Schizosaccharomyces pombe: one gene and its partners. Changing the gene in region 3 together with the main gene of any one other region gives a genetic interaction. Each region holds a gene or a part of one and is shown on either strand. Other genes may lie near its edges.

Evidence for each region.
Region 1: mutations in zrg17 (region 3) and bud32 together harm fitness more than expected from each alone (negative genetic interaction), as found in Schizosaccharomyces pombe (one large-scale study listed by BioGRID).
Region 2: mutations in zrg17 (region 3) and rdi1 together harm fitness more than expected from each alone (negative genetic interaction), as found in Schizosaccharomyces pombe (one large-scale study listed by BioGRID).

The regions. Positions count from the first base shown.
Region 1 is NC_003424.3:1,619,868-1,625,490, forward strand, and holds bud32 (serine/threonine protein kinase), read right to left. Parts: upstream 1,426-5,623; 5' UTR 1,396-1,425; coding exon 790-1,395; exon of another isoform or gene 742-789; coding exon 631-741; 3' UTR 501-630; downstream 1-500. Other genes in the region: vas2 (AP-1 adaptor complex sigma subunit Aps1), read right to left, coding at 1-48, 102-264; protein meu32, read right to left, coding at 1,772-2,328, 2,379-3,000; rib1 (GTP cyclohydrolase), read right to left, coding at 3,571-4,551.
Region 2 is NC_003424.3:1,315,649-1,321,636, reverse strand, and holds rdi1 (Rho GDP dissociation inhibitor Rdi1), read right to left. Parts: upstream 1,913-5,988; 5' UTR 1,792-1,912; coding exon 1,174-1,791; 3' UTR 501-1,173; downstream 1-500. Other genes in the region: TOM complex subunit Tom20, read right to left, coding at 154-202; tnr3 (thiamine diphosphokinase Tnr3/ Nudix hydrolase fusion protein), read left to right, coding at 2,835-4,544; tvp15 (COPI-coated vesicle-associated protein), read right to left, coding at 5,140-5,538.
Region 3 is NC_003423.3:1,941,967-1,950,490, reverse strand, and holds zrg17 (Golgi zinc importer, CDF family, Zrg17), read left to right. Parts: upstream 1-4,084; 5' UTR 4,085-4,168; coding exon 4,169-5,329; 3' UTR 5,330-5,554; downstream 5,555-8,524. Other genes in the region: SPOM_SPBC16E9.15 (uncharacterized protein), read right to left, coding at 3,116-3,213, 3,278-3,320, 3,370-3,393, 3,451-3,513; serine/threonine protein kinase Ksp1, read right to left, coding at 5,840-7,264. UniProt on the Schizosaccharomyces pombe protein: Probable transporter involved in the regulation of zinc homeostasis.

The DNA.
Region 1 (5,623 bases), on a different chromosome or scaffold from region 3:
CACAAACAAAAAACAAGGAAGCATATCGTCGGTAAACAATTTTTTCGCCTAAGACAAATACAGTTAATTCATATTTTGAATAAAAATACCAATTTTTTTACCTTTATATTCAACAAAATTGCACATTTTTGGTTTTCGTGTAATCACCAGTGAAGAAACATCACGGATTATTTTGGCTCTCTCCTTGATTGACAAAGTATTGAACCATTTAGCTAAACGCACCTTTCCCTGGCGGCTTACGAGTAGAAAGAACTTTATAGACATCTTATAAAAGCTTATTAAATGCTTATACGCTGCTTTAAAGGGGATTGACACTATAAGGTAAACGATGTTTCAATTCGTAACCGCTATGGACGAAAGCTCATAAAGGTTACAAAAAAAAGGTAATAAATAATCAGAAACAAAACAGTTATCTAACGTTGACTGCCAAGATTGACTTAACGCTCACTATTGCTTGGTGTTGATAGCGGTAGTTAGGTAGTGCGTGTGCCAACTCTAAAGCAACTAAATACATAGGGCATCGGCAAAAGGTCCATAGACTAATTAAACCATATGAAGGATACCATAAAGACTAAACAATAAATGAAAGATTTTTTATAAAAAATTTTCTAGAGACTAGTATTTAGAACATCATCCTATCATGGTACGTTTACGGCCACGCATTCGTACTTCTTCAAATCTTCGAAGTGTTGCCTTAGATTGTTTCCAACTTTGGGCATAAGAGTCTAAAACATGATGAAACTTCAAACAGTTAGAATTTAAGTGCTTTAAGTCTAATAGTTAACATACCAAAGATTCGCTTTCTGGTAAAGTACTTGATAAAGCTCTCTCTAGGACGTAAATATCCACAGCTTTATCTTCCTCAGATTCGGAAACGCTTCCTAAACCGAAATCAATAAAAATTGGGACCGGATTGTTGTGAGACTCCAGCATCATATTACTAGTTGTCAAATCTCCATGAACGATATCATTCTTATGCATCTTCGCAACTTCTGATCCTATTCGCTTCATTAAAGGAATAAGTTTTTTTTCAATCTCACATTCGCAGATCTCTCGAATATAATCTCGTACACAAGGTCCATCAATCCATTCCATATATATTTGACCACGATTGGCATCTATAAAGTACAGCATGGGACATTTTATTCCAACGTAATGACATTTTGCTAAAAGTCTTGCTTCCACTAAGCAGCGTTTTCTTGATAATTTCTGATCTAAAATAGGATGTCTCCATCGTTTCGCAGGTCGGCACTTCAAAAGACAAACCTCACCTGGATAAAACTCGGTTTTTATCGTGATTGCTTCTGCACCTTGCTTTACCACAGTTAATTTCTTTTCCTTTATTTCACGATATATATCAGAACATCTTTGCCTAAGGTCAGGTTTTTCTGACATTTTAGAGTTATGTAAATGAAGATGGGATTTGGAATGATAATATGCGTTAGAGATCCGAAAATGTCACAAATTTAAACTGTCTTTAGAAAATTATCGTAAGAACTGTCAAATACTAATAAATATTTTTTAGACTTAAATTGATTAATTTCTGTTATTTACCCACGATTTAAATGTAATACAAAAATTAATTGAGTTATCCAAGAAAAATTACAGCATAAAGTTGACACTTCATTTAATATCATAGCCTTATATGTTCGTTTTTTTTTTTAATTCAGTTTATTAGTGTCTGCTGCATATCAAATCAAGTCTGGTTTTACAGAATCAATATGCTGATTTAATGTTAATGTTAATAACTTAAGAGTATTTAATTTAATAATTAAATGTATGATTTTAAGGGTTCATCACTTGAAAACACGTAAATTTGTTTGTTCAGAAAACCAACACAAACTCGATAGTGTCTATACAGGAAGACGTTTTCTAGATGCATTGCTTGTTCTTCATTCAATACACTTAACTCCGTAGGAGCTATATTTGTAATTTCTTCCAAAAGCTTTTGACTAAATTTTGGGTTTTTAACACTTCCAGTTTCATCGACAATTATGCTTATTAAATCTGCAAATCTCAAACCTGTCAAATCATTGCCATAAACTAATCCCCCTTCTTTTGTTAAATCTTTAATTTTACTTTGCATTATTAAAACGCCAACCTGCCCAAAAGCTTCTCCAGATTGGCTGGCTATTTTTTCAAGAGCCTCTAGGGTGCTCAATCTATAAGCATTTATCTTAATAAGTTCTTTTCTTTTGATTGAAAAATTTAATAGTTTCAAAACTTTACCATCAAATGACTGAAGTGTTTGAATTATTGCATCTTTAATTGACAATTCCAGCATTCCGGTATTGGTTCGGTAGGCAATTGCATTATGAATCAACAAAACTAAAAATTTTGGTGAGTAGGTACATACCTGAATAGAAATCTTTACATACTTGTTTCATTGTTCCAACTGAGAGCGGATTTAACTTGGGACTCTCCTATCAACACGATCATGGCTGATCCAGAAATATCGTGTACGTGTATCGTTTGTTTAGGTAGAGATTTTTTTGTTTCATTATTAAATATCTCGAATTCTTCTTTCCACTGTATTGCAACTAATACATTGACGAACGCCCCATCTTTAAAGTCATTCACTAGTGACAGCGGAACAATATTGTCGCTACCAAACCCAGGACATGGTATTTGCTCTGGTTCAGAAATTGTAGCTTCAATCTTGCTTTCCAAATTTTTGGAATGAATCTGTAGTTTCCAAGCTCTTATCCCAGAAACACGACAGACTACGTCGCTATAGACGAAAACTGAAATGCCGAGTTGTAACTGTCTCAGCATTTCAAATTTTGGCGAATACTTGGATAAACTATAGTTCAATTCAACAATTCCAGTATCATCCATAAGTTTAAACATATAACAAACCTCGTTGGATGAGACACGCTTATTTTTTAAATTAACTATCTTTCCCTTAAAATAGTATCTAAATGTACTTGTCCCTAACTCGTTAATTTTTTTGAATTCATACAATTTCCAATTGATAAACTCAGATAAGTAAACTTCCATTTTTATCTGTAATTTGTGGTGGTTTGCTTTATTTCTTTGGATGCATGAAATACGCGGTAATGAAGTGAGCTAATTTAAATACTAAACATATATACTGAGGCAGTTGAAAAAAATCAAAGAACTTTTTATTTGAGTTGTTCGTCAATAGAAGGAAAAGCTCAACAAATGTAATAAACAATCTAGCTTTAAGAGCATTGAAAATTCATTCTTAAAAAGAAACTGAGAAACCAGCTTAAGACATATTACTTAAGCACTAATTTGCAAAAAAAAAAATACAAAAAGGTTGAGAGTGTTACCACAAGAGCTAAGACTGGAAATAGTAGACATTAAAAGCATGGTTCAAATTCATGTCTATTAAAAGGGTCAACGATGTTAACCCTCACAAGAATGAGTACAGCAGCTTTAATAATTTAGTTTTCAAAGACCAAGGAGTTTTTGGTATTCATTAAAAAAGATTTAACTCTTCAAACTCCAAAAAACTGCACGTAAACACGAAGAGTAGCCATTTATAAAGAGGAAGCAGTTAAAACCATAATTGGCGAAAAGTGTGAAAATGCTTGAATCGCACCATTATGAATCTGGTAAGTCAAGTAAATGTCCCATTTTCTCAATTTTAGTTTTGAGATAAAGGACTACTTCAGCACTTTCAATTCCCTTTTCACCTCTCCATGACTTGGGTATCATTGAAATCCGTTCTACTACACGAACTTCTTTATTTGGGCCTTCAATGCTATTAACCTTTTCAGGATTATTCGTCAAAAGTCTGATATCACGCTGACCAAGATCCATCAACATAGCAGTAGCAACTGCATACGATCTTCCATCTGCTGGATGTTGAAGCAGTAAATTGGCTTGGACGGTGTCGTTTCCTAAATCCTGAAGATTATAAGCCTTGAGTTTCTCGGACAAACCAATTCCGCGACCTTCTTGACGAAGATATATTATGACACCATTCCCTTCTTCACTAATTAAACGGGCTGCTTCATCAAGTTGTTCACCACAATCACAACGAGCCGACCAAGCAGTTTCACCGGTATAGCACTCGGAATGAATTCGAACCAGCGGTACAAAATTAGTCTTCCGTGCTTCTTCTTTCTGCTCTTCGGTAGTTTTTGAAGAGTTAACATCAATATAAGAGCTTTTACGGCCAGGATAAAGTGTCCCCACGTATGCGCCTCGTACCATACGGTCCATTTCTGTTTCGCCTTCTTGCACAGCATCAAGACTATCTGAGCGAATTTGTTGACCAAAAACAATTGCTAAATGCTCTTTATTATCAAAATCGTTTTTGTATAAATGGAGGAAAATCTCCGTCCCCTTAACTGTAGGAATTCTTGCTCTAACAACGCATCGAACCTTTGGAAGCCTTTCAGCAGTACCGACAACGTTGGGTTTAGGCTCAATATCAAGCGCAGGACTTAACATAGGCGAATTTACACATTGTACATCGTCAATTGGCAGACGTTTTTCAGAAGCAACATTTTCAGGAAGACTTAAATCCTGGAGCAATGTTTTGTCATGATGCACTTGATCGCCCTCTTTTTTATCCATTTATAGTAAATTATTAGGATAAAAAAGTACTAATATGGATGTTAAAAAGAAGATGTGGGTTAATGGTGATCTGTCATTAACCACGCTTGTGAAGGCTGAAACCTGTTGTCTGGAAAGTGTACGAATAGCTTACTAAGAAATTTCAAAATTGGCACTCATTCTACAAATCACCTTTATTTACTTCCGTCTTTACTAATCTTCTTTTTTTTTACTAATTATTGTTTAATTTGTGGGAAAATACAACATTTACAGCACTACCTTAAGTATGCAAATACAACAGGTTATCAACAATTATTTGGAATATTTACAGTACTTTTTGATTAAAATATTAAAATGGTTTCAAACAGGATATCATAGGATGCAAATTATGTTTACAAACGCATAACGTAGAAATTTTGCTGCATTGTGAAAATGCAGTAAATATCTTTTTAAAGAATGACTTCAGCAAATATTATCAAAACTACATTCAATGCTCAAGCAAAGCTCTTAACTTATCTAACTGGATACGAATTAGCTTAGCAAACTGTGATGTTTTAGTTTCTTTCGTAAGCTGATCCGATTCTAATTCTTTTGGTATACCAATCACGTCAATAGCGTATTCCTGCTCATACAGACTAGCGGGTATAGCCAAACTTGATAAAAAATTTGGATGTGAAATCAAATAGTCGATGCCTCCAGCATCTCAATCTTCAATTCAGCAAGTCTAATTTCTTGTAGTAATGCGGGATTAAATTGTTGCAAAAGATCGAACAGTAGCACTATCATAAAAGATTCATCGATGGAGGCTAACGAAATTGAGGAAGGAGGTTGACACCAATTTAATAAAGCGTACTGAATTTGAGGAAATGCTAATAAAACAAATTCCCTCATATCGTTCATGATCCTGTTGCCTAAAAATTTAACAATATTAAATAAAAGGGGCAATATTCCACGAATCCAGATTTTGTATTGAATCGATGAACCATCGAGTCCTAACCCACCAGTGCTTAAAGCCGTACTTAATGGACTTTCCATAATTGAGTAAAAAAACCCATTCATAACGATTTGTTCAGCACCTGCTGGTGATGAAGAA
Region 2 (5,988 bases), on a different chromosome or scaffold from region 3:
CTTATTGAACAAGATCAATGTTTAACCCTATCAATAAAATCTCGACTGAAATACAGTACTTCTATTTTCAAGATCAAAAAGAGAAAACAAACGCCCGCTTATCTCAAAAATCTAATCATCATAACAATGCTTTTTCAAAATTTAGAAACTTACCAACAGCGGCAGTAGCAAGCAAGGATCCAATAATAACTGATCGCCTCATATTTATCAAAAAATAAAAGATGATTTTTAACGACAGCTGGCTGTTAAAACAACGAGATTTCCAGACTACTTAGTGGAAATCTATAATACGTTAGGAATAGGAACGGATTACACCAAACCAAGTAGGTGAAAGATGAGAGTCTAGCAAATGATGTGCAAAGAATTAGTGAAAGAAAAAGTGTGATACCAAGAAACCAAGTTAACGATGTCTCTATTCTACTGCAGTAAAACTATATTAAGACAGTAGCTTTGCGCTCAATAACTTTTTATGGGTTTAGGATTCATTAATCAATCTTTTAATCAGTGTGAAGTATTAAAATAAAAAGTTAAGTTTCAAGCACTATGTAGGATTTTCTCAAAGTCGAGCGAGATACGTTGAAATGAGTTTAAGAATGAGTTATTACCGTTACAATAGTATTCTAGTAATTCCCATCAAAGGGACTAATCAGGCTAGTTAATAGCTATTTGTATTGTTTTCTATGTACTTCTTTGGTGACAACAAGGAAAAGTGGAAAAGTATAAGATACTTGGAAAAATTTAATCAAAATCTCAAAACTCATAATTTCAGTGAAAAGAATATAGTCGGATGTATATATCCTTCCAAAATATCGCATTTGTAAGCTTTGGAACGAGATTTAAAAGAAACAACGTAGATTGCTAAAGGGGAATATGTGAAGATCATATGTAAGCTATAAAAGTAATTTGCACAACAAAAGGCAATCTCCAAACAATCCGAGATATTTGGGTGAAGTAAAGTTTCACTGAAGAAGGTGGTAAGAAATCGTCATTACCATATTCAATTGTAGTCCAGACACCGATATGTGAAAGAAATTGGTAAGAAAAAGGAAAATGTTTGCTTTGTAACAAAACATCACTATAAATTTCTTTATAGTACTGAATACCGAGAATTTTGAATAACCAAGTAGATTTGAAATTTACGATTTTAAAAAATAAGGCTGGCATAAATAATGACTACTTCCAGCTTTTTGCAACGTCAAAAGCCCAAACAAATTCATGATGGACCACTTTATCATCATCAACAAACTTTCCATTGGCTTCATAATGTCCGCGAGCCAGCATACCTGTAGGTGCCTCATCTGGTTCAGAGGTAAAATCATAAGGTGTTTCAGAAGGTCCATAGGAGCCAATCATGGTAGATGTTTTGTCAACAACAAAGCCACGTCTGCGAACAGTTTGGACATATCTTAAGCCTGAAATTACTTCGTGTTGTACACGAAATTTAACACCAATCTTAAACTCGCTTCCTTCCTTAATAGTGAACCCTTTCTTGCGGATTTGTTCGACACTTGCTGCATCTTCCATGTTAACATCAACTGGGTCACGGCCGTCAACAAGTAAACTCAGCTTTAAAATAACAACTGTTCTACGATCATTCGAGGGTGAATAACCTGTTCCCGTGATACCCAGAGATGCTTTCCATTTCTGCAATGATTCATCTTCGGCATCCATCTTCATATATTCATTAAGTGATTTCTTTTCTCCCAGAGAAACCGGAGGTCCATGCTCAAATGTATCATCCTCTAGTTCAGGGTTATGTTGATCAGCGGATACTTCATTGTTAACACTCATTTTAAAACAACGCAATAGAATTTAATTATCTGCCAGTAGCTAAACCAAGGACAATTTGTTTTTATAAAAAAAGTTCAGATTCGTTGTTTTGTTAATGTACTGTTCTAGAGTTGAAATTGGCAAAGGGAACATAGCATATTGCTATCTCAACAATATAACCAGATGTACTACTATGTTAACATTTCGGTGACTTGGATTATTTTAAATATAACGGAGATGCAGAAAAGCGTGAGAAAAGTATAAGATTTTTTTTTTCTTTCTATTCCCTTCGATTTTTTTTTTAGTGTCATTATCCATGCTTTTATACATGTAAATATGTTGGAGTAATCCCAAGCATTGACGTCTTATGAGACGTAAAAAAGAAGGAACTTTCTATGCTAGCTTTTCTGTAGGCAGATGTTCTTTACATGAAATTGTTTGAGCAGCAAGTTATAGCTGTAGTCGATAACTATTATACAACCAGATTTGATACGTTTAGCGGAAAAATTATCAATCACTTCAGGAATTATTATTAAAAAACTTACGAAGGAAGTCCACTGAAAATAAAAATCATGTGAAAGATACGCTTAACTATACCAAACCCTAATTAATTACAAAAACGGCGGTTGGTGTTAAAGTGAAAATTAGTAAGCCAATCTGTGTGCTATTATTTTTAATACCAAGACATTCCTGGCACGGAGTTCTGCTCCCATTGTAATTTTCCTCGTAGACCACACTCTTGAAAGACAATTACTAGATTACCTTGATTAAGGTACTGTTTGTTTAATATCAACTTCTTTTTTGTTTTTAAAGATCATTTTGAAAGGGGTTTAATAGATTAGCATTTCGTTATACGATAAGGTTTTAGTCAACTACCCGATTTCTACTACCAGGAACCAGTTTCCTTGAGCTTTTACCATTTGCTAGTATAGGGTGTTTTATATATTATTCTATTTATGTTGAATTGAACCATAAGTGTCTCCTTCGCATAAATACACTAGCCTTTTTTATTCCTGTTTTATTTTAGAACACTATCCATTTGAGAGGAAAATTTGGGCAAGGTAATGGCAATGTCGTCTATCACCTCTGCTAAACAATTAAATGCCGAAGAGCTTTTAGATGAATGCGATTCTTTTAATGGGGAATTTGTTCCTGGAACAATTCCCTTCCGTGCAAATGGCGCTGCCATTGGATATGTTACCCCTTTGGTACTAGAAATCCTCATAAAGGCGGATAATTTCAAATTCAATTGGGTTTATGTTCCAGGAGAGTATATTGAAATAAACGCATCTACTTTTGAAAAAAGAACTGACATCTTAGCTAAGGTACTGGAGCATTGGCGCCATAACAATACATTTGGAATTGCTGATCAATGGAGGAATGAATTATATACTGTTTATGGAAAATCTAAAAAGCCTGTATTGGCCGTTGAACGGGGCGGATTTTGGTTATTCGGTTTTTTGAGCACTGGTGTGCATTGTACCATGTATATTCCAGCAACTAAAGAACATCCTCTTCGTATTTGGGTACCACGAAGATCACCGACTAAACAAACGTGGCCCAATTATTTAGATAATAGCGTTGCCGGCGGAATTGCTCATGGTGATTCAGTCATAGGCACTATGATAAAGGAATTTTCTGAAGAAGCTAATTTGGACGTTTCTTCTATGAATCTTATTCCTTGTGGCACTGTCTCCTACATCAAAATGGAGAAAAGGCATTGGATTCAGCCCGAGTTACAATATGTATTCGATTTACCTGTTGATGATCTTGTTATCCCAAGAATTAATGATGGAGAAGTCGCTGGTTTCAGTTTATTACCATTGAATCAAGTACTTCATGAACTTGAATTAAAAAGTTTTAAGCCAAATTGTGCTCTGGTTCTTTTAGACTTTTTAATCCGTCATGGTATCATTACTCCACAGCATCCTCAGTATCTCCAAACTTTAGAACGGATACATAGACCGTTGCCTGTTCCTGTTGGAAAATATGAAAGAGGGGATTCTTTTGAAGATACTTCAAAGAAAGCTGAAACGTGTGTTCCTGCAAAACCCCAAAAAGCCACTCATCAGCTAGCTCCATGTAAGGCTTGGTTACGTGACTATGATACTGATCAAAAGTTTGCGGTATTACTATTAAATCAACCCATAGATATACCGGATGATAGATTTCGTACTTTATGGAAAAGAGCTAGTATCCGAGTCTGCGCAGACGGTGGTGCTAACCAATTGAGAAATTACGATTCTTCGCTCAAACCGGATTATGTCGTTGGTGACTTTGATTCGTTAACAGATGAAACTAAAGCTTATTATAAAGAAATGGGAGTCAACATTGTATTCGACCCATGCCAAAACACCACTGACTTTATGAAATGCCATAAAATAATTAAAGAACATGGGATTGATACTATTTTTGTATTATGTGGCATGGGTGGAAGAGTTGATCATGCCATTGGTAATTTAAACCATCTATTCTGGGCCGCCTCGATTTCTGAAAAGAATGAAGTATTTCTATTAACTGAATTGAATGTATCAACTTTGCTTCAACCCGGAATAAATCATGTTGATTGTCACGACAACATTGGTTTACATTGCGGTCTTCTGCCAGTAGGACAGAGTGTGTATGTTAAAAAAACCAGCGGCCTTGAGTGGAATATTGAGGATCGCATTTGTCAATTTGGAGGACTCGTCAGCTCTTGCAATGTAGTGACAAAAGCAACGGTGACTATAGAGGTCAACAATTTTATAGTATGGACAATGGAAACACGTCTATAAGACCTGTAAGTAAGAAACTCAGAAAGAATATTCATTATTCCCAACAGCTCAAAAAAATTAAGATATTTATTTAGATATAAAAAATATAAAACATCTATAGAGTATAAGCGGTAATGGTCATAAAGCAAAAAGATAATTGATTAGAGTAATGAAATAAAATAGAATTTTAGTAAAGCCAACTAACATTTTGAACTGCAAGATACATCTCAGAAAGTGAAGAAATAGAAAAAAATCATAATTTTTCATATTGTTGAGCTTGACATGTCATTTTTATCCTCCTCGATACACCCGACAGTTCAGAATCCAAGCTGGACAATTAAAGGTATTTGAATGTATAACCCTAAAACCCATCACAAATACCATAGCTACTACGCTAATGTTGATATACAAAAATTATACATAGTTAAGAGATCGTATACATATTTATACTCATTAACTACTCTGAGGATGACTGCTAAAGTGACTGTCTTTTAGAACACCTACCCTGAAGAAAACGAATGTATCCAGAATAAATCATATGTAGGAGGACATCGGGAAAAGAGGGGGGTAGGAACAAGAACCGAATCAAATAATATAGTTAGAAATAAAAAAAAGTCTACACTTCATCAACGTTATCATCCCAATCATTATCACGCATGCTTCTGGGAGCGTAGTCTTGCAATCCTGCTACGTAGTTTGCACCACAGTAGGCGATACCTGCAAGAAGAACTAAAAAGCCTAGGAAAGAAGTAAACCCGGAGTAAGAAAAGAGTAAAGTACCCATGAAAGCGTAGAAGAAGCCCCTTCCTAAGAATGAGAACATGAACGATCCATATTTAATAGCAATAGGAGGAATTTCCTTTTCTAAACCAATAGTTCCCAAACCGAAAACGATGATGAACAATGCAAGTAAAGCGTTTACGAAGCTAAATGAAAATAACTTGATAAATCCGCTTAAAACGAAGATACCACCTACGCCCAAATTAATGGCACTAAACATTTTTGTTTTATCCATTGTGAATTAAGTGTATGCAACCAATATTAAATTTTTCAAGCAATATGTATTTTAGTCGATGTTTGCTTAAAGACAAAGAGAAATGCAAGTTACTAAGCCTGCCTATGCTTACCGATGCGGTCATGCATATTTACGAACTATTGAAATACGGTAAATAAAAATAACGAATTCCATAATTCTCAACCAACTTTTTGTTGTTTACAGAAAATGAATAATTCAATTCATCGAAAATGCATTTTGTTTTCTATAGCATTCTTTGTACTGTTTTTGAAGTTAAAAACACTATCATTTAGTAAATAATGTACTTTCGACCCGGCTTTTTTTTGAGACAACTGTTGTTGACAATTTTAAGGTCTGTGGGTCAATTTATATATTTGTCAAACGTTCGTAAACAAATGTATTTGTATCTTAGTTTCATACGAGCTCCTTTAGCTATATGTGATCTACTCT
Region 3 (8,524 bases):
GTTACGTTTGTTTTTTAACGACTCTTTTCTTTTTTACGACTCTCGACAAGTTTTCGATTTCTCTTTCCCCCAAGTGATCTCTCTTGTCTCTACGTTTCAATTGTTTTAACGAACTTGTTATTTATTTATTTATTTAACTCTTTATCACGTTTTTAACGCTTTTACGTTTAAAAATCCCCTTCTTATTTATCAACAACACTTTTGATTCTCTTACATTCTTCTATTCTTCATCATCATGGTTGGAACTATTAACGAATCAATGCAAAACATGAAAATCGGCGCTAAGGAAACCGCCCAATCTGCTAAACAGGGCATAAAGAATGCCGGTCAATCTAGCAGCAAAACCGCTAGAGATGTTATGGGCAATCCCGTTCCCGGTAGCTACACCGCCGGCAACACCGCTAATGACGGCGACAGTAGCTATGCCTCTAGCAAAAACCTTCTGGCAATGCCGACATTGGCGCTACCTCTTCAGAGCGTACTGCCTACGCCGCTCCTCAACGTGCCGCCGTCGACACTTCCAACGTCTCTCCTCCCAGCACTCAAACCGGTGGCTACGCCTCTAAAGACACTACTTCCACTTACGAGGGCGCTCAACCCCTTTCCTCCCAATCTAGCCGTTCCTCCAACTATACCAACGTCAAGATCACCGCTACCCAAAACAACGTGGATGCCTTGACCGGTGCTCCCATCCGTATCGTCACCACCACCAATGCCCGCATCCAACCCGACGAAAAGACCCTCCAAGACTTGCTCGAACAAAGACAGGTCGCTCTTCGTGAGGCCCGTGAAGCTGAGGAGGAGCTTCAACGTGCCCGCCAATACAACGACCGCTCCACCTCGGAGGCCCTCGAGCTTGAGGCCCGTGCCAAGAAGGCTGCTCAAGACGCCGAACTCGCTTCTGAGCGTGCTCGCGAAGCCCAGTCCTCCATTGAGCGTAGCGCCTCTCTTCGCGAAAAGCAAGCTCGTGAGGAGGCCGAACGTGCGGCTACCGCCTTGCGCGAGGCCGAGTTGAAGCACCGTTTGGCTCAAGCCAATGCCGATGTCGATGTTGCCAACTCCAAGCTCGACATTGCTTTGAAGAACGAGGCGGCTTGGAAGGCTGAGAGAGAGAGCTCTCTTGCCCATCAAAAGGCCGTCATCGACAGTGCCCGTGCGGAATTGGAGCGTGCCAGACATGAAGCCGCTGTTGCCGATGCCACCTACAAGAAGGAGCACTACGAGTATAATGCCCTTGTCGCCGAGTTGGAGGAGCGCAACGACAACACCTTGCGTACCGCATCGATTCGCGAGGCCGAGGCTAGAAACCTTGAGGTGCACATGGAAGACACCTTGAAGGATGCTAGGATGAGAAGCCGCAATGCCACTGAGCAGGTCGAAGTGGTGAAGCGCGAGATTAACTCGGAAATCGACGTTTACAGAAGCAGCGTCGAAAAGACCAAGGCCGAGCTTGCTAGCTATCAAAAGGGTCTTCCCTCTCAAAAGGAGGCTTGCGATCGCGAATTGGACGATGCCACTCGCGCACTCCAGGCCGCTTCAAGATCGCTTCAACGCCGCCAAGTTGAGAGTGAACCAGTTTGACGTTGATTCTCGTCAACAGCTCGCCATGCTCACCAAGAAGGTCCGTGACGCTGAGGATGCCGAAGAGAAGTATCGCATCAGCTGTCATCAACGTGAAGAGGAAATCACTCGTTGTGCCACTCAAGCCTATGATGCCGTCAAGGCCGCTGAGAAGCGCAATGAAACCATTGCCGAGGCTGCTAGAGCTAAGGAAAATGAGGCCAAGGACTTGTATAGCAAGGCCGAAAGCATCACTCAAGACCTTAACGCTAAACGCTCTCATCCTCCTCAACCCGCCAACCTCGACTATAGCTCTGCCATTCAACGGGCACAGGAGCGTTTGACTCTCGAGGAAAGCAAATTGACTGACTTGCGCACTGCCGAGCCATCCCAGTATGTCAACGACGTAGAGGTTGCACGCAGAGCCCTACGCGATGCTCAAGCTGAACAAAGCAAGGTGGAGAGCGAGTACAACAGTGTTAAGGGTAGCAAATTGTATACCACCGAACCCGTTCATCCACACGCCGTTACCACTAATGAACCTACTGATGTTAGTACTAAGAGCAAGTCCGCCGCCTATCACTATCCTGCCACCACTGAGACTGTTTCAAGCAAAGCAGCCCGCTCTGCCACCACTCCTGCTTATGTTGGCGGTGCCACTAAAACTCCTAGTACGACAAAGGCTGTTGAATCTACTCCCAGCACCTTGCCTACTTCAGCTTCCACAAATGCTGCTGCTACTACTACCACTAAAAAGCCCAAGGCTGCCAAATCTACTGCTGTACGTGATGATGTTTCTTCTGCTTCTTCGGATAGCGACAAGGGTACCACCGGTTTGGGCAAATCTGAAAGCAAAAGTTCCCGCAAGGAACGTAGAAGCAGCACCAGCAGCGGTCATGGCTTGATGAACAATGTTCGTCATGCCTTGGGTATGTCCAACAAGTAAAGGGAATACTTGCAATATCAAAATTTTTGGACGTAACCTTCATTATCTCGTGAATCCGTTATGAAAAAAGGTTTTTATTGTATGGTTCTTATTTGAAAAAAAGGGACGACAACTTTTTGAGGGGAAAGTTGTCATCCTTTAAAGGTTGGTTCTTTATGATGGAAAGTACTGCGAATTGTTCGTAATTTATTAATGAGATTCTTTGTTTATACGAGTAAAGAAATTGAATGCGATGGATATAGAAAATGTAATGTAGCTTTAGTTTTAAGTAGTTTGATTGTCTGTGGTGGGTTGTATATGCTTGCTTTGGCCTTGCTAGATAATCAAAACAAGAAACAATATAAAATGTACAATAGAACTAACAGGTAAAAATAAATGTACAAAAAATAAATGATTTGAATTTTCTCGTACGAACATGTAAACAATTGAAAAAGACAAACAATCGAGACTTAGAAATACAATTGAAAATAAATAGACAGAGCAAGACAAACAGAGGTTATTCTTAATAAAATAGAGCAAATCTAGCACAATCCCCAATCCACCACGTCAAACAAGCTGTATGCTCACTTCAAATAGAAAGCTTTGAAAATCTTATGCGGTGAATCTTGTTCACTCGGTCGATGTGACCGGTGAGACAGAAGACTTTTTGTTCATGGCCTCACGCATGGATTCTTCAAGTTGATCTAAACGAGTTGACATCGTTTCCACTGTTAACATAAAAAGTTATGATTAGTAAAGCAAAATCTTTCATTATAAATTAGAGAATCGTACATTTCTCAGAGAATTGCTTTTGTAGGGTCTCAAAGTCGCCAGACTATAAAAATCTGTTAGAATGATTAACTAAGCACAATTCTTCTTCTTACAATATCCTCCAATAACTTATCAGTCTAAAAGTAAACAAGGTTAGATCATTAAAAAAAAAGAAAGACTAATCTTAAACGCACCAAAGTCGTGATCGCAGATGTGGATTGAGGATTTTTAGAATTCCCTCTAACAGACGCAGACATTGTAACCGAAAACCTTTTTTTTAATATGTATAGATGCTTCCTTCAGGTAATAAGAACTCACTTGTGAATACAATAGTTGGTATTTGGAAGAGAAATGGAAGAAGTAGGTAAAATAGTTGATGGAACTCAGCTAGGAACCTCTGCGTAATGTTATTTACCTACACATAATTATTTTTATTATTTTACCAAGTGTATTTATTGTCTTATCGAGTACATGTGGAAAAGTCGTAGAAGGAGAATTCAGGCCCTTGGAGTGGCCTTTTTTTTATAACTTAATGATGATTTTATTTTTAATTAAACGAATTAAAAAAATTACTCATAATATCCTTGTATGGATGACTTTGAGCCGCATGTTTGAACCCTATATATATGGCGTTCCACGATGGCTCTGAAAGGTAAGTTTGTTCATCTTTAACCGTTTTCTACTAAGCGTTTTTTATTCCTAGTCACTAAAAAGTAGATGTCTCAAAGATGGTACAACACTATGGCTTTTTATAATCATTTACTGATACAGTCAATATCTTTATCTTAGACTGTTGCAATTTGGGCCTAGTACCAACTGGTCTTACCCATCCACTCCACCAAACGCATGGGTGAGTGAGTTTTTAAAAAAGCCATTATAGAATTGTTGAAAGTATATCTAAATGAATGAAAAATGACTCAAAATCATAACATCCCGACTGCTATTCAGATTCAAAACCCTATAAATAATAATGTCTCTGTAACTATTAGTGATCAGTTACCAAAACCGAGTGCGAATAATCCCAACTTGTTAAGCGTGGATACTCGCCCTACCCACAGAAAAGGCCATCATCACAAACATTCGCTTTCGCATCAATATTTCTTACCACCCAAGAATCGACAGCCGTTAGAGATACCTGCCAGTTATCCCATTCCTACTTTTAAAGAAACATTCGCAATCCTTACTTTTCCTCAAAAACTAAAATTGACAAGCTCAATCCTATTCTTTTTGGTCGCCGTAGGGGTATTACTCTCGGGGGATGCTACTATCCTACTCACTTTATCTTGCTCTTTAATCGTAGAAGGTGTTTTAATCATTATCAACGTTTGGCGTGAAACATTGGATTCGTTCCTCGTCTGGCGACACACGTGTTTACGTTACCCATTTGGAATGCAACAAATGGAATTACTTGTTGATTTTTCCTTCTCAATCCTCTTAATCTTCCTCGGCATGAACCTCCTAAAAGAGCCTGCCGAACATGCTATAGAAGATTGGGGTAATCTCCATCATGCTGGCGATCATGAAGAAGAGACTGTACACATTCATTTAACCATTTCATTGTTTGCTTCGGCTATAATATCGGGATTTGCATTATTGTTGGATCACCCTAGTGCTCACATACGAGAACTCAATTCTCGCTTTTTCCATGGACTCACATTAGTACCTTCACTCATCCTCGTGTTGCTGTTAAGTCTTGGTTATCAAGTTGGTTCATTTCTCAGCCATTTGCTTTCCTTAACTATTGCTGTTACTGCCCTGGTGAATGGGTTCTCCATTGCCAAATCGCTTGCCTTAATGCTCTTGTTGACATACTCTAATAAAGAAAAGGTCTTTGAATGCGTCTCCCTTATAAAAGAGGATACACGAATTGACCAACTTAATTATGCTGCCATTTGGCAACCTCATTATAATACTTGTATTGCTAATATTGGCTTAACCGTTTCAGGAGGTGAACGAGAGCAGGCAGCAGTTCGTGAAGATATTATAAGGATTATACAAAAAACAGTAGGAAGCATATTTGGTGCTGGTGTTCAACCCAAATGGGAAATATCAGTAGATATCCAGAGAGCCTAATCGTTTTTTCCTATCTTACAACCAACCGTGTTTGTAACTCACTCGTTATATTTTTATTATCATTTAATGCATGCATATTTTATCAACATATGACATTATCCACCTTTGCGGAACTTTCGCTGTCTCGAACAGTTTGGATTCATAATCTAATAAATGCCATCCATATTTACTATAGAATTACCAACACCTTTTTCATTCTTTCCTTTAATTTATACCGCTTATTACAAATTATAAGGAGAATACAAACTCAAGATTTTAATATGAAATGAATAATTTTATTATTATAAATAAGGCATGTGTGGTCGTTGCATACTAAAAGGATCAAGTCTAACTAATAATAGAATGCGTATATAGAAGGTATTTTCATATGTAAAAAAAAAAAAGAAAAACGTAAGCATATATATGACCCTCAATTAACATACAGATTCCAAAGGACAAGTAATGCAATTTACTACTTTAAACGTAGCTCTTACCAAGCTTGGAAAGAAAGCGCAAAAAACAAGTTATCGTTTATGAGTTATCATTCCACTGGGATAGAACATTCCAGTCGTCAGCAAGTCCAATGTGCTTAGACGAAAGTTCGTCAGAAGCACCAAAGTCATCGTTAGAGCCGAAGCTAACAATGTCTTCCTCATCTTCTTCATCCATATCACACCAACTGCGGCCAAATTTAAGATGATCCTTGTTTCCTTTAATACTGTTAGGAAATACGATAGCTGGTGCACTGCAAGAATAGGGAGAACGTTTCGTATTAACGGGTACTGCTGTTGCAATGGATTTTCCAATATGCATATTATTGAGACTTTCACCAAGTCCAGAATCATAGGAACGTTCGCTATTGTTGACTGGAGCCAAAGATGCAGGGCTCCGAGGAGACGACGAGGTTGAAATGTTCTCATCAACGTCAGACAAAGCTGGCAACTTTGAAGGAAGAAGACCACGCTGTATGGTGTTAGCGGGTGTCAAAACAGATGGAGTACGTAACGGTTCGCGATCTGATTGAGTACAACGAACGTTGTCCTCAGCAGGCATGAAATCGGATGCGCGAAATTCTTCTTCTTCATTAACGAAGCTTTCCAATTCCTCATCATCTGTCGTCCACTTGGTAACCGCGAGTACGGCTTCCCTCGTTTTGGCGAGAGAACGTTTCTCTGGACTCACACAAAGGCATGCTCGCAAGACGTTATATGTATCTTGACTCAACGTAGGGAAAACGTCAAATAAGGTCATTGCGTCCAACATGTAATCAGCAAATATAGGATCCTTTTCGTGTGGATAGGTAAAAGGATTACGTGCAAAAATTAAGTTTAAAAGGCAAATACCAAGAGCCCATATATCCGCTGCACGAGGGCTGTAACCAGCACCATCAACTTCCTCAAACTGTTCAGGAGCCATGTAACGGTCACTGCCAGTTCCAAAGTCATAAGATATTTTGTCCCTGCAAGCAAGTCCAAAATCACTGATCTTGACCACAAGCTCAGATCCATCTTCTGAAAGAGAAAGAAGAAAGTTTTCTGGCTTTAAGTCACGATGGTAGATACCATGAGAATGCAAATGTGCAACACCATCAATGATTTGAAGAAAAATATTCTTAATCATTTCAGGTTGGTTCTTTGCATTTGGAAAATCATTATTCAAGATGCACTCGTATAAATCACCAAGAGGGCAATATTCGAGCACGACATAATAGTATACATTGTCTTCAAAAGATTCAACGAAATGAATGATGTTGCGGTGTCGAGACCGCGATAGCTGGCGCAAGATATTGACTTCTTGCAAAAAGGTATAAGCAGGTTTTTTGATGCACTTAATGGCATACTTCAAATCCTTGCAACGGGGAGTCCGAAAAAGACGATGGGCTAATACTACAGTGCCATACGATCCCTTATTCAGAGGGCGCTCAACTTTATAACCTTTCTTTTGAAGCAGCTTCATAATCACACACACTTTCGATTCCGAACTTTTCTTCTTTAATCAAAGTTTGAGAGGTCGAGCAGATGATAACTTAATGTCGGTCGAATGATACCTAAAATTCACAGTTTTCTTAAATTCTCCTTTAATAGACTCAAACAGGTCGTTCTTTGAAAGTTGAACAAATAATATAGATATGAATATAAATACAGAAATATATATATACTCTATTTGTTCTTCACAGTACACACCTGGGGAAGAAGAGGAAAGATAGTAAGAAAACAAAAACAAATTCCAGTAAACACTCAATCTCTAGAAAGCCAACACCTGTACAAGAAACAGGTTTCAAAAAGAGATTGGCGGAATACTTCGGCAACGAAATAACCTAGTAGAGGGAAGAAAAGTCGGCCTGGCTGTTCGAAGAGGATGGCGGGTATGAAAACAGTGGTTTCGCGTTGAATACTTTGGGAGAATTAGAATTTCGTAGCAATTCACTTAGATCGTGTGTGTATTAATATTTTGTTAAGCAAATTTTCTCATGTTGAACCCAGAAATGTAGCAGAAAACAGAACCTTGGTTGGTTGTTGTTGGTAGAGGGTAAAGTTATCCGCCCCCCCTGAGGAGTTCTTTTTAGTGCTGATGTTCCTTTGATTGCGATAGAGAATTTAACGAAATTTAGTGGAATATAGCACAATTATGTCGAGATAGTAGATGAGTTGGTAAGGAAGATTCGTGATCAATTTATCCCGTTCTGACTTCTTCTTCCTTATTCTATGATAACGTGACTGTGTAGTGCATTATTTCTCCTTAAACTTGTGCGTGATAAATAAATAAATATAAAATAGAACAAGTCGTATATACTAATTTATAGACACATATGCTATCGTCTACAATCTATTTTCATTTTTACTAATTGTTTTAATTATTTTTTCTCATCTTATTGAATTCTTTTCTCGTTTCTATCTTCGTTTCACCGATCGTTTTAGATGCACAAGTAACCACTGTTAACTAGAATAGCAAAGTAGATAGATGAACGATGGAAAATGTTCGATAATGAGAAAGATATAAGCCTCGAATATGAACTAATTATTTCGTACATTTTAATGAAATGATCTTAAAATTGCCTAACAATTTGCTTTTTGTTTGATCATTATGTTGCTTGGTTTAAGGAAGCTGCCATAGCAATTAAATATCAAGAGATATATAGGCCCTTGAATAGAAGTACGAGATTGGAAGGGATCATAGAAGCTTCCTTTGAGTTAAAACTCTGATTTATTAATTTTC